Bombyx mori: one gene and its partners. The protein of the gene in region 1 purifies or fractionates together with the protein of each later gene. This does not show direct contact. Links are inferred from orthologs where the notes say so. Each region holds a gene or a part of one and is shown on either strand. Other genes may lie near its edges.

Region 1 (4,267 bases):
GTACTGAACCATTCGGCAGTACATAAACCCGTGTTCCTTCTATGGTTGAGTTGCTGGATAACTCCGATGAGTCCAGTCTTTGACGTTTAGCATTTGGCTCATTGTTTGACGTCGCAGGTGGTGTTGGTATTGGAATGTTTAAATCCTGAAATTAAATCATTATCAAACATCCAAAATGTAAAAATACTTGATTTCATCAGAATATTGTAAGTTATTCTATTTAAGAATAAAGGTAAAAGTACTTTATTATTGCCATTGTGGCAGATGAGCATATGGCTAACCTGATGTTAAGTAGTCACTGTAGCTCAAGGATATCAACAATGCTAGATAATGAGGCAAAGGCTGCCAACTATTCAGGACTCTCAAGTGATGCAATAATGCTAGATTTGAAATCAGTAATGGTTATTATTTATTTTTTTGTTTAACTTTCAAGGGCTTGGTGCCCACCTAGTGTTAAGTGGTTGCCCACCTTCAATCACTAGTTCTAAGGTCTCAATTTCAACAGTACAATGGCTGCTCCACCCTTCAAACTGAAACGCATTACTGCTTCACAACAGAAATAGGCAGGGTGGTGGTGCACACTCACAAGACATCCTAGCATAATCTTTGGCCTATATGTTATCAAGATTTAATGATCAAGCATGTTGCTGTGAGAATAGTTAAATTATTTAACTGTTAAGTTGATTTCTAAATCAGTAGACAAATATTTGTTATACATAATTATTACTATATACACACAGAATTAATCAACTACCTTTTAATGGCATTTCAACATTACTACTGTAATGTATAAGTTTAAATATGTTCACTCCACAATGGGCACAGTACATTTGGGTGTACATGACAGAAATGTTTCTTGAATGTTGTAAAGGGAAAAACTGCTACGGGTTAATAAATTTGATTTTCTAATGAGTGACTAGAGAGAGACTTTGATGATGAATCTAGTGACAGTTTTTAAGAAGAAAAAAACAGGGCATTGATACACAGTCACTTTATAACTCTTTGACCTTATGAAAAGCATCCAGTTCATAAAACAGTTTGAATTTGTTGTTTCATTTATTTATTTCAGTGACAAAAAAAAATATCTTCACCCTCTTTATCATAATCGATGTTAACTGAATTTTGACTAGCCATTTCCAACTGAACACGGAAATTCTCAATTAAAAGAGTAAAAGCGTATACATTGGCCAAAATGCAATGTGCAAAATGCTTTTTCCAAATAAAAATCTGAAGCATAACATTTGCCTTGTTTTTCAAGTATTTGAATTAAAACAGAAGTTGGCATAAGGCATAAATAAGACAGAAAGATAAGACCTGTTTAGTAAAAACATGTTTATAATTCCATTTTAAGCCATTTATAATTCTGAATGTTAAACCCAAAAAGAGAATAAGCTGTTATCCAGCCTTATACCCTTATATACTTATGATGATGAGTGATTATTGCCACTCATAGACATCAGTAATCCCAGGGGTAGAGCCACACCACTGCCTACTGTTAACAATTACAAGATACTAGCTACACATATGTATATTGATGTTGTGAGAAATCTCAGAAGAGATAAAAAGGCTAGCATTAATAGTTTTATAAAATGTATTTTAAACAATTCATTCATATCACATAAGTTTAAAAAGTTGTTTTTTTATATATTAATTAGGTTATATGGATTTACATATTATGACCAATAGTCAAAAAAATTGAGAATATAAAAGGGAAATTTAAGATTTTATGTAACATTTTATGTATATATGTTTAAGTGGAGAGCGTTTATGAGTTTAAAAGACAGTTTATAACAATGTAACTTTTTTGTTTAAAGTTGAATACATATTTTGTTCCTTTAAAAAGATTTTAGAAATAAGGCGACTCTAGGAAAAATAATAGGAAAATCAATTTGACTTTTGAGCCTTAGGAAACTTCTAGAAATACACTATGCGAAATAGAAAGTACTAAATACGAAACTTCTGTACGAAATAGTAATAAGATTGTCGCGATATTCACCTGATGTACGTCCGATAAATTCCGATTTTGAAAGTTTGATGTCTCTAGTAATTCATTTAATTTCACTATCTTTTCTGGGAAACCTTTAATTATCAAATGCTCCGCCTTTAGTTTCAAAGAATCTTTGTAGTCTTGGACCTGAAATACACACGAGCCAATTATGTCGCCACCTGATAATCAAATTCATTGGACGATACAGCAGAACACCATGGCGTGTTGAGGTTATGTTGATTTTGCTCGAAACTTACAGCTCCCATTATGACGACTTGTAACAGATTATTCCCTCTGTAAAATTCAGTGATCAGAAGTGTTATATTCAGAATGTAAAGTGAATGATTTTTCAATTAACAAACGGTAAATTAAAATTATGGTCGCACGCACTGATCAACAGACTACAGACGATACTCGTGTCAAACAAAGCGATATTGTTAAAGCTATTTTATTTAATTTACCTTTTTTGCAACGTCTGTCATTATGAGATGAATTACTTTATAGGGATTTAATAAAGATTAATCCCTTTTTTACTGTTTTTAAACAAAAACCGCACTTTTGCAAAGTTATCAATTACTCGTGTATTATGAATGTATGAATTTTGGTTTTTGTAAGTCTTAAGGTGCGTTCATATTCAAAGACTGACAGTTCAAAACATATTTTACACTAATGTATTTTACGTTTACTTTCTAGATCCTGCATGTGTTTAGTGTTTTTAATTTCTATTTTCCATTTCCTATTTTTTCCTTTCTGCATTCATTTTTATTTTATAAGTCGATAGCATTAGTTTTTTTAATTTCATAGGTACCTACCTACTTAATTGAAAAAGTCCTGATTTATAGAGGTAGTAACGTAAATCAATTATTAAAATTGTGAGAAATATATTATTTGTTTCTAGCTTTCTCAGCTTTATTAATTAACTCTGTGTAGTATATGTATAAATTTAACTGGGAATTACGACAGGAACGAATTTGCGTTTTAAATCCCGCAAATAAGTATCGAATTTTCTAATGAAATACGTACATACCCAATAACTGGCCGTTTTCCAATTACAGCACAAGAGCGCATTATGCGGCATAATGCTCCTAAGCTTCAGCATAATTCGGCATTGTGCGTCACTGAGTCGCATTATGCTCTGTAATTAACCATTACTTAATGGTAGTTTTCCAATTTCAATTTCCAGTAATTGGAAAATGGCCACTAATTACATTTAATTCAGTTCATAAAATATATTTGTTATTAAAAATTTTTTTCACTAAACATACATTTAAAGAGTGATTCTTTTTCTACCTATAGTTATAGCCTATTTCAGCTTCTCCTTGACGTGTAGGTGAGCTCACGGGGCTCAAACCGGGAGTGCTGCTAACATTGGCCTTGGCAAGAGCAGTGCTTCGCAGAATCTACCACCGGATCGGAAAAGGGGCGGGTTCGACGAGAACGGTGACCGGTGCTTGAGGTCTCTAAAATCACTGTTAGTAGATCGGGAGGATCCGAATTGACGTGCTTAGGGCGACGTCGACTGTTTATCATTCGGCCGGCAGAATCGGGTCTTGTGCGACAAAAGTAACTTATTTATAATAGAACAGTAGCAGTAGTTTGTTTATTAATTTTCGTGAATACCGCCATAAACAATTGTTGACATGCGTTGGAGCTAACTAACAATTTTAACATTGAGGAAACAGTTAACTCTAACCAATCTTAGTTAATTAAGTAGTAGCAGGGTTCCACCAATATATTATACGATGTAATACTTGTTCCTAAAAGTATTAACACATGCTCCAATTTGGTCTGGTAGACCAAATTAGCCGCAAATGGAGCAAACCAAATCAGAAGTGTTAACCAGCAGACTGAGGCAGACTTAACTAATAATTACTATGTTCGCAGGACCACGCCACAGACGATCAGATTTGGTTTAGTAGCAAAACAAATTGGTGGTAAGTTCGAACCAAATTGGAGCGTGTGTAAATGCTTTATATTAACGGTATTGTTTATGCCATACTGTTTTAGGTTACATATAGATAATAAATACACTTAATTGGTTACATAAGTGGTTTTTAAAAATGTACAAAATCCTTCATTAGAAATACAACATATGGATAATATGTTACTGCCATCTACAGGAGTAACTAGAAACTAAACGAAGAGAAGCCATCTAGTGGCCGACGCCCATAAACATTTTTGTTGAGTGCTTGAATTGCTTAACTAAATAATACGGGTTAAAGTATGAAATTGCCGATTTATTGTAATAGGTACGGTACGAATTGACTTAGAAGTTTCATA
Region 2 (4,179 bases), on another chromosome or scaffold:
CTCGCACCACACTGAATACTCGCTACCGTGTTGACTCAATACAGATTCACATTCACAACTCCCATAAAACCAATTTGGAACTGCCGAACGATTTTGTGAATCAAATTCAATTTCCGGCACGAGGTTTTGTGTATGAGTTCAAGAACGCAAACAACTTGTCCAAAGTAAATTTTTTTTCACTTTTTGAATTGACTATTAAATTTGACTGGTAAATAGAAGCGAATTCAAAGCTAAATAGATCTTTATCCTTAGACCTATATTCTTGTATTTTGAAATGTCTTATTTATGTATATCTTTACGAAGTTGCCGTTTTACAAGGCCATATTATTATGACACATCATGCATGCCTAGAAAAAAATTTAAATTCTAGCAATAAATCATAAATTCAAATTACCTAATCTTATTTATAAAATATGGAATTCTATTTTCAAATTCGGTCATTTGATTAGTGCTTTGTTTTCATCACATTCATGTTAATATAGGTATAGTAAAAATATATGTAATAATGGAATAAGAGTTCCATCGCGGCAACAATGCCGCACAAACAACCCACAACATTAATTATATATGTATGGAGTGAACACTTTGAGTAAGCCTTTCCGGAAATTTGATATAAAATACGAACGCCTAAATCTATACAATCATCAACGACGAATCAGAAGCGATCGTGGAAAATAACGACACTCAAGCTATCGTTGAATTAGCAACAGCTTTTAATGCTAGCATCAATACAATATAGGTTTATTTGCGTCAAATTGGGAAAGTAACAAAACTTGTTATGTAGTTGCTGTACCAATTGAACGATCGCCAACGCGACGAACGCATTAAAATATAAGTTGCGTATACAGTTGCTCGACAGACTCAGAAAGTAAGGGATTTTAAACCGCATTATTACTTGCCAAGAAAAAATTATTATTTTTAATAATTGTAAGCGGTCATCATGTTGATTATACCCTGGTTAAGCAATTAAGCAATGCCCTAAACAAAAACACATCCATAAAAGTCATGGTCAATATTTGATGGTCTAGTGCCGGTATCACACCTTCTGATCAAATGGCAACAGCATTACTGCAGATGTGTGACATGAGGAACTGGACAAAAGTTGAATGCTCGCATAAATAACTATTTGCTATTTGAGATTAATTATGGTAAATCCATTAGGACTTCTTGGAAAGCTTATCATTGTCATGATATATAACCAAATACTTGAAATTGAAAAACTTATTGTGGTTTATATGTGCCTTTTGGGGGAAATCGAGAGAAATTACACTTGATTAAATACCAAACACTTTTTTCTTGAAAAATCAGCTGCTAGCGACATCTTTACCAGATTTCGTGGGCCAGTGTCCTACACTATCACAATTGAAATAGAGTATAGATTAAAAATACCCTCTGCTGGCAACAATACTCAATAGCCAATATTTCATGAGTGTTCTTCCGTCGTCCGCCGGTTTCTATTTTTCAAAAAACAGGATTGAGTCAGTCTTTTGCAACATAAACTTAAGAATAGTGAAACAATGCACGCAGAAACAACATTAACGCTTATACAAATACTTGAGAAGACAGTTTCACCTGGTAAGTAATATGACTAACATCAACATGAACATGGATGGCGTTATAGAAAATAACGTACTTTTGCTACCTATAAACTATGCCATGATTCTGAAATTTATCCGGAAAAACTGTAGAATGGATAAAAAAATGGCATTTCTCAGCAAAAAGCATTTGAATTAAAACGAGACTGTAATTTTATCTAGTATCACCAACCGCAATGCTTACCTGTCATCCAGGAAACTTCTAGTTCAGCTTTCGAACCTCACGATGTCTGTGTTATTAACATTCAATGAAAAAGTGTGCTATAACTTTTGAATTCAATAGCTATTTTAATTCATTGTACATATAAAAAACAAAAAAATAAGTTTAAGGTTAGAAAATAGTGGATATTCTGTAGTATTAAATGAATAGGTAACGATTTTGTACATACATACCCTAATAAGAAAGAAACAATGTGCAACAGGGGCCGTATAAAATATATTTAAACAACATTATTTCAAAGTATAAAAATATTTATTAAGAAATTATAATAAAAGAAGTAGTGGTACTAAATAATCAATTGGTTTTGATGTTCCCTTGGCATGGATGACTTGGATTAGTGATCGTGACTACTCACCATTAGGTGGCCCATATTCTCGCCTGGTTTCAGTGGTAATAAAATACAAAAAAGACCTCACAAATTTGATTCTCTAACACCTTTTGTTTTCATGTGACATATCAGTATACAGACATAGTTAAATTTGGGGTACTTCACTTTGTAAATTATGTACTTAGATTATGGTTATTGCTTACAGATCGAAATGAATTGGAAGCAGCAGTTAGATACCTCGACCATGCTGCCACCACAAATTTCACAACATTCATCAAAATGTTGTCCGATGTCCTTCTCCAAGGTGGTAACAGTCAAGTGGCTAGGATGGCAGCTGGTTTGCAATTGAAAAATCATCTCACTTCTAAAGATCCTACACTTAAACAACAATATCAACAAAGATGGCTGGCTTTGGCAGAAGATGTTCGACTTTATATAAAAGAAAATGTAAGGCAATATTGCAAACAAGAAACAAGTGAAACATTGAAAAATTCACTAATAAGTTACTTAATAATAAAAATATATATAATATTATCTCTAAGCTAAATTGCTCAATTATTGTCTAAATAGCAATTCCCTGTATGTCTTACTTAGATTAAAATTAAAATTAGTAATAAATATAATTTAACACAACACTAATAAATACAAACACACAAGACATCTAAAACGTAATTACGCCACCCATCTTGAGATACAAGTTCTAAGGTCTCAGGTATAGTTATAGTATAGAGCTTGAACTAATGAAGGTGGAGAATCTGATAAGTTCCATCAGGTGTAGGTAACCAAGTTATATTTAATTTTAATACTAGTTTCTTTTTTAGATATTAGCTGCTATAGGAACAGAGAATAGTCGTCCAAGTTCAGCAGCACAGTGTGTGGCGTATGTGGCAGTAGCTGAGCTCCCAGTAGGACAATGGAATGATCTAATACCAATTCTTGTAGAAAATGTTGTTCATGTCCAATCTACTGAACTCAAAAAGGAAGCGACTTTGGAGGCTATTGGTAACTGAATGAACATTTGATAGTTAAAAGAGCTATGACAAATTATGTTATATAAATAAACAAAAAAAAAATTACAGTTTTAATTGTGCTTTATAACTAAAGGCAAATTGCTATTAATCTCTTTAACAATACTGATGTATTTCTTATTCTTCTAGGCTACATTTGTCAGGATATTGATGCTGAAGTATTAACAGAAAGAAGTAATCAAATTCTTACGGCCATCATACATGGCATGAGGTCAACTGAACCCAGTAATCATGTTCGACTAGCTGCTACTCAAGCTTTGCTCAACTCTCTAGAATTCACCAGAGCGAACTTTGAAAAAGAAAATGAAAGAAACTTTATTATGGAGGTTGTCTGTGAAGCCACACAGTCTAGTGACATGAGAATCAGCGTTGCTGCTTTGCAATGCTTAGTAAGTTTTATAAATATATAATGTGAATCCAAGTATTATATTTAAAATTAAAATAAAATACCACCTTAGCTACCACATTAGCTTTCTTCCCATGAAAGTAGAAAAAATTATATACCTCAGGAATATTACTTTTTTGTGGATAGTATCCTTTTATGTCCTTTTCTGTACTCTTGACAGCATTTATGTAAAATTTCATAATTAATGATTGATTAGTTAGATATGAAAGTGTATGAATTACAATTTATATTAATATTACATTTACTCAGTTATAAATTTATAATATTAACATGAATAACAAAGCTAAGACTTATTTTTTGGGATACCAGCTATTGACATGATTAAATTTAAACAATTACTGTATTAATTAATTTAAAAAATAGTTTTTAATCAAACAAAATTATCTTCAGGTGAAAATTTTATCACTTTATTATCAACATATGGAACCTTACATGGGACAAGCTCTATTCCCCATAACACTTGAGGCTATGAAATCTGATATTGATGAGATTTCATTACAAGGTATTGAATTCTGGTCCAATGTGAGCGATGAGGAAATAGATCTCGCAATTGAAGAAGCTGAAGCAGTTGAAGCAGGTATGAAAGTGATACTTCTATTCTC
Region 3 (3,933 bases), on another chromosome or scaffold:
AAAGGTATATTAATGATTTTTTTATACTGTTGAGTGCTAGTGTGTTAGGGTTTTTCTGGAGAGGATTACTTGTACCAACGTCAATTAGTTACCTGTTTCCTTAATTCAAGCCAATAATGTATCCCGAATTTGTATCTAGTAAGCTAAAGCTATGCTCATATTTATATATACCATAGACATTTTCCCTCATATTGACCAAGCGGACATGTCACAAATTGTTTTTTTTTTTTTATTGCCTTTGTAGGTAGACGGGCATACTGCCCACCTGATGGTGAGTGGTTACCGTCGCCCATGGACTTCAGCAATGTCAGGGGCAGAGCCAAGCCGCTGCCTACCGCTTAAAAAAAAATCCTAACTTAAGTAGGATTTTTTTTTCATTCCTATACTCTAGTAACCTTGAGGAGTTATTCTAGATTCACCGAACCAGTAGGTGAGCTCACGAAGCTCAAACCTTGACGACGTTGCTAATACTAACCCTAACAAAAGGAGCGCTTCGCAGAATCTACCACCGGGTCTGAAACACGACCCGCTGAGAAGATCCGGCGAGAAAGTCAGGTCACTCAGTGACGGGTTCGACGAGAAGGTTAGGATATGTATTGACAACCATAAACATGGTGTCCCAGAACTCAACGTCAAGCCGAAACCTGGTGACAGGAACAATCATGAGAAAAATCAGAAAAAAAATCTATCCAATGCAGTTTGGAAATTATGACCATTTAAGGAAAACCTAGAAATTTGGTCAAACTGTAACCATTTTTCGGTTATTGTGGTTAATTTTTATTATTTTTGTTCATTTAAACTTTGGAACCGTAACCCTAAATAACATTTCTAGAACCACAGTCAAAAATAAAAGCACAACTGACCCCAAGTTTTCTAGAATTAAGATTATTTGTCAAACTATGAATCTAAAATTTTCAAAATTTGTCGACTTTGAAAGGCCCTCCTTTAAAAAAAAGTACTAAAGTGCCTTGGCAAGTGCCATTAAAAGTTCGCGCATTAAATCAGGATTGTAAAATGGTACAAAACTTGTTAGTTTCATACTAAAAAAAATAAGAACCCCGAGTGACCTGATACTAACCCATTTTACTCAGTTCAAATGTTTTTTATTCACACAAGCTCTTGGTAGGTTCTTAATTTTACGACAAAATGATGAGAGAGATGGATAGCGGACATGTTTGCATGAGCGACCGAGACAGATAGTGACAGATATAAAACACAAATGATAACTATGATTGGTTTTATCACTAGTTTCATTTAGATTATACAATATTTTGTTATTCCACGGTAATATTGTGGGAGAATATTACAGTTTAGACCGAGCAGCAATTGCACCAATCTCACTTGAACTCTCCAACGATCCAACTCGATACGTTTTTATTGCTCAAAATGTGTCACCAGACAATATACGCCTTCCCAAAGTAAAGATGGCACCTTGACCATGCGGAAGATAAATGCTCTGCTCTGATTGGTTGTTACCTACATGAATTTACAATTTTGGCACCTTTTATTACAATTTATTTTTATAGAAGGTTTTAAAGCTATAGGAAAATGTAACAAACAAAATAAAATAAAATTAAGAATTATAAAAGTAATTACAACCTAAAAATAATAATATATGCATTTTGTATGTAAACAAGAATCAACTCTATTCATTGCTTCCTTTGACATATATATACAAGATAAATTCTTTATAACCAATATAATTGTTCATTTATAGGAAAGCAGTTGATGAAAGAAGAATTTATCCCATATAAGTGGAAGTCTGAAAATAGTACTGCACTGTGTAAATGATGATATGAGATGGGTATCAATGCCGAGATGACAATTTATAATAAGCCTGAATGGTAAAAAAGATATGTGCGTCAAGTTCACACAATGTAGGATGAGTAAGAAAAGCAGACAATACTTGTTCTCTTATACGAATAGGAGTATTAAGTAACTAATGTTAAAATTTAAAACTAACTAACATGTTTCTGATGTTTTTTTTTTTATATCTTAGATGGGTGGATGAGCTCAGAGCCCACCTGGTGTTAAGTAGTTACCTGAGCCCAGTATAGTTACAAGGGCTGCCCCACCCTTCAAACCGAAACGCATTACTGCTTCGCTGCTAGAAAATTCGCTTACGTTAAGCCCGTTAGCTCACCTACCTGTTTAGGCGTAACTGGAATGGCCTCCTAGGCTATCAGCAAATAAGTAGGGACAAAAAGGAGACTCAACTCACCAATGTGGCCAGTTATCATCTCGACTTTGTTGACACTGTGTTCATCATACAGTATGCTCTTGTGTTTGTTCTCTGTGGCAATCACGACGCCATTTGACGCTGCAAATATGAAAACATCCTTTTTACTCTTAAAAATACTGAGTCATCCTGGGAAAAAATATACATTTGCGGTTTTTTTATGTGATGATACACAGTAATTAGTACAAAGGAAGTTATAGTTCTAGTTTAGAATTATAATAACCTTTAATTTTTATTTACTAACCTTTGATGCCGACGGAAGTACCACCGGCGGCTACGGCAGCTAAAGCATATTCGATTTGCACTAATTTGCCCGAGGGGCTGCAAAAACACAACAATTGAGATAACATTAACCAAAAATCATACCGCAACTTTAGTGTGAATCAAACAGAGTAGATTAGACGCTAAGACATTAAGCAACTTAAGTCATCATTGAAAATTATCACAGAACTTTATGTTCCATTGCTAATTAGACTTTTAAAACATGTAAATATATAGTTTTTTTACCTAAATGTTGTGAGAGAAAAACTGTATCTCTCCGACGCCATGATTACAGTGCAGATTGTCAAATTTGTCAATAATTCACTGCGTCATGTTGTCATCACTGTTTTCCAATCGTTCAGAAATATTTCTCAATTAGTTTGATCACATCTTCTTAAATTTTTTATATGGCAACATCAAATTGACTCACTCCTTATTGGTCAATTGGATTTAGTCTGAAATAGGCTTAACCAATAAAAGGCGATGCTTCTCGCTCAATATTTTGTTGTCGCATCCTTCTAAAAAAATCTATTTTTAATTTAATGGTTTCCCATTGAAATACGTGCGTAAACATTAGTGCGTTATGTCGGTTGGCCTCCGCGGAGTATCTTCGTCCTCAGAGACCATGTCCGAGAGCACGTTAGAGAGAAACCGAGCTGAAAAGGCTCTGATAACAAAAACTCCAACGCATACGTTACTCAAAAGTAATATTAAAAATTATTCGGACAGGAACGGGAACGATGTCACGGAAACCGTACACAGAGGGAGGAAAACCTTCGCATTTTGGACTCTCGTTTGTCTTTTATTCGTATTGGCTATCGGGAACTTAATTCTGACATTCACGATACTAGCCGTCTTGAGATTGGGACAAGGTAACTATTCTTGTTTTCAACAAAAAAATAATCAAACTGTAGATATTAGGACGTAATAGGTCTTAATAAGTAAGTTCTTTTCTAACGCCCTATCATTAGTTCGTCCTGCATATATGGAATGGAATATTTTAACGTAATTTTAACAGACTTAAAGACGTCCAAATAATTTGAAAATTCACACACACGTCTAGAAGCGACGTCAGTACCACAGTTTTATCGTTGATCTAAAATATCGATCAAGTTCACGTACAGTTTTGAAACTATATTTCTTTAGTACCTAAGCTACCCTATCATTGGTGTCCAACCGGATATAAAGACAAAGATAAGGTCTAAGGTCTTATACATTATTTTTCTGTTAATAACTTAAATACCGTATTTAACCTATGCCCATATCCTCATTACCATTATTAGGAAGGGAATTGAACAATTATCCTGTTCTTTTTAACTCTTCTTCTGATCTGCGTGCTGTTCCAACTTTTATACCCGATTCATCATCGTAAGCCTATAGTACATTGCTGGACCTCTCCAATTGTACGCCACTGAGCTTGATCCTCTGCTTCT
Region 4 (3,687 bases), on another chromosome or scaffold:
TCGAGCGATGCGACGGTGTTCGAATCCCGCAGGCGGGTACCAATTTTTCTAATGAAATACGTACTTAACAAATGTTCACGATTGACTTCCACAGTGAAGGAATAACATCGTGTAATAAAAATCAAACCCGCAAAATTATAATTTGCGTAATGACTGGTGGTAGGACCTCTTGTGAGTCCGCGCGGGTAGGTACCACCACCCCGCCTATTTCTGCCGTGAAGCAGTAATGCGTTTCGGTTTGAAGGGTGGGGTAGCCGTTGTGACAATACTGAGACCCTTAGAACTATATCTCAAGGTGTGTGGCGCATTTACGTTATAGATGTCTATGGGCTCCAGTAACCACTTAACACCAGGTGGGCTGTGAGCTCGTCCACATACCTAAACAATAAAAAAAAAAAAATTACGTAAGGGAAGCAAGACTAACGCCGTCACGCGTTACGTAACGAAGCGGCTTATCTTCTCTTAAGAAGTTATCACTTCCAGAAATAAAACAAAGAAAATCAATAAAACCTTTCATTTATTTCAATAACTTACATACTAAAATCACATCGTTCGAAAGTACGCGTAAACAGGATACGTTTGCGGAATCATTGTTTTTTTTAAATAAATCGTCGTATTTCATAGACAACCCTAACTTTTGGATTCGTCTTTGCGCGACTTGCTCTCCGCGTGCTCCGGCCGCCGTCCCAGCAAGTCCCTCTTGCAACATTTATCGCTCTAAAAAAAAACATACTGTATATATTTTAACAATCCAATAAACAGCATGCTGTATATAAGGAGTCCTGTAGTGGACTGTGGGATTAGGATGGGCAAGGAACTTAATAAATAAACTCGCGAGGATTGCACGTATAAAAAGAGAATGACAAATCTAAGACATTCCAAAATTCAAATGTAATGTCAAAACCATAACCACAACAATAAAAAAGGTTTTATACCAATTTGTTGGGTTTCCAACAGTCCTACTGGTGTTAGGACGTCTTGCGAGGCCGCACGGGTAGGTACAGGTAGGTCATCACTCTGCCTATTTCGCCGTTGTACCTATACTGAGACCTTAGAACTCAAGGTTGGTGGCGCATTTACGTTGTAGAGACCATGTCACTTACCACTACACCAGACGGCCGCTACAATGTATCAGAACTAGATAGCATAGCGGTATATACCTCTTGTGAGCACACAAGATGGGTTTTTCGTTACTATTCTTATTTTTAAACTAAGCAGACTTTTGTTTTTAATTATTAACATACCTCGTCGTCACTAGAATCGGTTGTATCGGTAGATGAATCAGAGCGGTAGTGTCCCAACCCTGGCAACACTCCGGCCACACTCAACGCGCCCACGACTATCCCGGAATCCGCTTGAATTTTACTTGTTGCAACACTGCGGAAGAAATCACACATGGTCTTACAATAGGTGTACTTTAAAAATAAAAACAGTAAAGTGAATTTGTGACTTTACTACGGGCTCATAAGAACTCGCATCCAGGGCCGTAAAACATTCTAAAAAAAATCACACATGTCAACCTTTTAATGTTGCATTTGCTTTTTTTTTATTCCTACCTAGCTGAGAGCCTTAAGAGGTTATTTCAACGTAACCTTAACTAGCAGGTGAGGTCACGGGGCTCAAACCTGACGACGATGCTAACACGAAACCTAGCAAGAGCCGTGCTTCGCAGAATCTACCACGGGATCGGAAACGCGACCCACTGAGAAGATCCGGCGAGAAACTCAGTGAGTGGGCTGTGTCTGAGGGTTAATTTACTCGTCGAGCCCTTCGTCGCAAGCGACGGGTTCGACGAGAACAATGACCGGTGCTTGAGTTGAGGTACCTAAAAGCACCGTTAGTGGATCGGGAGGATCCGAAATGACGTGTGGATTTGCACGAATTGCAGGTAGTTGTAAATTAAATTTGTTTAAAGTATTGAGATCAGAGGACTTTACCTGATCTGTATTTGTCAGATTAAGAATCAGGCGATATTAGTTGCTATCGTGTACCACAATTATATTACTTTAATGGTGGTAGGACGACTTGCGATTCCGCACGGGTAGGTGCTACCACTCTACCTATTTCTACCTTGAAGCAGGTAGCTGTTCCAGTTTTTAGGGTGGAGCGGTCGTTATAGAATTGAGGTTTATAGGTTCTGTTTCAAGTTGATATCAGCACATACAGTCCGCACTAGTCGGAACCTTACCACTATTTCCACCAGATTCTCTGGTCGGAAGAGTGGTATGGCTGACTCTGACCTTTGAGATGTGGTCGTGGACGTCTGTAACCACTAAAGATCAGGTGCATAATTTAATTAGATAGTAACTTACATATGGCTGTGCGTGTGCGTGTGTGTGAGAGCGTGTGTGTGTGTGTGTGAGAGCGTATGTGTGTATGTATATAATATACACATGGTATTTAGGCATCTGTTCAGTTGTTAATTTTTTTCTGTATGCACCTGTTTTGAACTGCCATCCAGATTATTATGTTAAATATTTAAACTTACAATTTCTATGGTTGTAATTTGTTATGTGCATCAATAAAAAAGACATGTGGCACTCGGGGACTGCCGCGGTAAAGCTATTTGCAAAGCATTTTTTATCAACTTATGCAATTACAATTAGACAATAATAATTTAATATTAAAACAATAATAAGAATAAGACCACGCTATATTTATAAACATTAACAAAAGCAAAACATTAACTGTCCACTTCACACTCATAAGCTAGACCGCGTGAGAGAGAGATGGGCAGACTTTTCATGATGCTCATGCAGTGCGACGTCACGCCGCGCGCTTATTCACAAACACTACACCAGCGCGACGTGTGAATGTGTTGAACGCGAGCTACATGGTAGGCGGAGTGAGGGGTGTCAGGTTATTTTCGTTACGGAATTTCTTGATTCAGTCGCCGCGCTCAAGGCCCGCGATAAAAGCTATGCAATAGTTAAAAAAAAAAAAGAAAATTTAATTACTTGTTCGAAACCACTCCGTTGGTCTTGGCGGGCGGCGCGTCTTTCTGATTTTCCTCTTCTATTTCGCTCGCCTTACGCTTTCTGACAATCAACTGATTGAAAAATTAACAAACAGATATACAAATTGAAGCAATGAAAATTTAACACTATTGTATAAATTATTTTAATGAGCTCTCGAAATCAGCTACGATCACCGAAACATTTCCTTTTTTTTGTTGCTTAGATGGGTGGACGAGCTCACAGCCCACCTGATGTTAAGTGGTTACTGGAGCCCATAGACATCTACAACGTAAATTCAGCCACCTACCTTGAGACAAAGCCCACCAGCAGTCTTCAGTCTTTTACTGGTGGTAGGACCTCTTGCGAGTCCGCACGGGTAGGTACCACCGCCCTGCCTATTTCTGCCGTGAAGCATTAATGCGTTTCGGTTTGAAGGGTGGGGCAGCCGTTGTAACTATACTGAGACCTTAGAACTTATATCTCAAGGTGGGGGGTGGCGCATTTACGTTGTAGATGTCTATGGGCTGCAGTAACCACTTAACACCAGGTGAGCTGTGAGCTAGCCCACCCATCTAAGCAATAAAAAAAAAAGTTTTATTCATTTTCACACATACCCCTTGCAGTTTGTTTTTCTGTGTCGGTGTTGTTGTGGTTTGAGTTTTACCCAGAGCCAATTGAGCTCGGAGACGAGTCATTTCTTCACTCTCAGCTAGATTGGACACTCGCTCTC

What was found. The genes of interacting proteins can lie anywhere in the genome.
Region 2: the proteins of proteasome activator complex subunit 3 (region 1) and importin subunit beta-1 purify together in Homo sapiens (affinity purification with mass spectrometry; 3 studies listed by BioGRID and IntAct, with this or other methods). This does not show direct contact. The link is inferred for Bombyx mori from reciprocal best matches to the Homo sapiens genes PSME3 and KPNB1.
Region 3: the proteins of proteasome activator complex subunit 3 (region 1) and proteasome 25 kDa subunit fractionate together in Homo sapiens (co-fractionation; 3 studies listed by BioGRID and IntAct, with this or other methods). This does not show direct contact. The link is inferred for Bombyx mori from reciprocal best matches to the Homo sapiens genes PSME3 and PSMA2.
Region 4: the proteins of proteasome activator complex subunit 3 (region 1) and PSME3-interacting protein purify together in Homo sapiens (affinity purification with mass spectrometry; 4 studies listed by BioGRID and IntAct, counting the BioPlex papers as one, with this or other methods). This does not show direct contact. The link is inferred for Bombyx mori from reciprocal best matches to the Homo sapiens genes PSME3 and PSME3IP1.

What each region holds. Positions count from the first base shown.
Region 1 is NC_085114.1:6,478,201-6,482,467, forward strand, and holds the start of proteasome activator complex subunit 3, read right to left. Parts: upstream 2,801-4,267; 5' UTR 2,470-2,800; coding exon 2,449-2,469; intron 2,282-2,448; exon of another isoform or gene 2,254-2,281; coding exon of another isoform or gene 2,245-2,253; intron 2,135-2,244; coding exon 1,997-2,134; intron 146-1,996; coding exon 1-145. UniProt on the Homo sapiens protein: Subunit of the 11S REG-gamma (also called PA28-gamma) proteasome regulator, a doughnut-shaped homoheptamer which associates with the proteasome. 11S REG-gamma activates the trypsin-like catalytic subunit of the proteasome but inhibits the chymotrypsin-like and postglutamyl-preferring (PGPH) subunits.
Region 2 is NC_085110.1:11,420,898-11,425,076, forward strand, and holds the start of importin subunit beta-1, read left to right. Parts: upstream 1-1,379; 5' UTR 1,380-1,517; coding exon 1,518-1,575; intron 1,576-2,348; coding exon 2,349-2,590; intron 2,591-2,964; coding exon 2,965-3,145; intron 3,146-3,300; coding exon 3,301-3,560; intron 3,561-3,967; coding exon 3,968-4,154; intron 4,155-4,179.
Region 3 is NC_085130.1:10,804,571-10,808,503, forward strand, and holds the start of proteasome 25 kDa subunit, read right to left. Parts: upstream 2,801-3,933; 5' UTR 2,788-2,800; coding exon 2,747-2,787; intron 2,561-2,746; coding exon 2,484-2,560; intron 2,321-2,483; coding exon 2,222-2,320; intron 1-2,221. Other genes in the region: uncharacterized protein LOC101740923, read left to right, coding at 3,084-3,372.
Region 4 is NC_085126.1:1,613,680-1,617,366, reverse strand, and holds the end of PSME3-interacting protein, read right to left. Parts: intron 3,687-3,687; coding exon 3,572-3,686; intron 3,050-3,571; coding exon 2,958-3,049; intron 1,378-2,957; coding exon 1,245-1,377; intron 718-1,244; coding exon 631-717; 3' UTR 501-630; downstream 1-500. UniProt on the Homo sapiens protein: Promotes the association of the proteasome activator complex subunit PSME3 with the 20S proteasome and regulates its activity.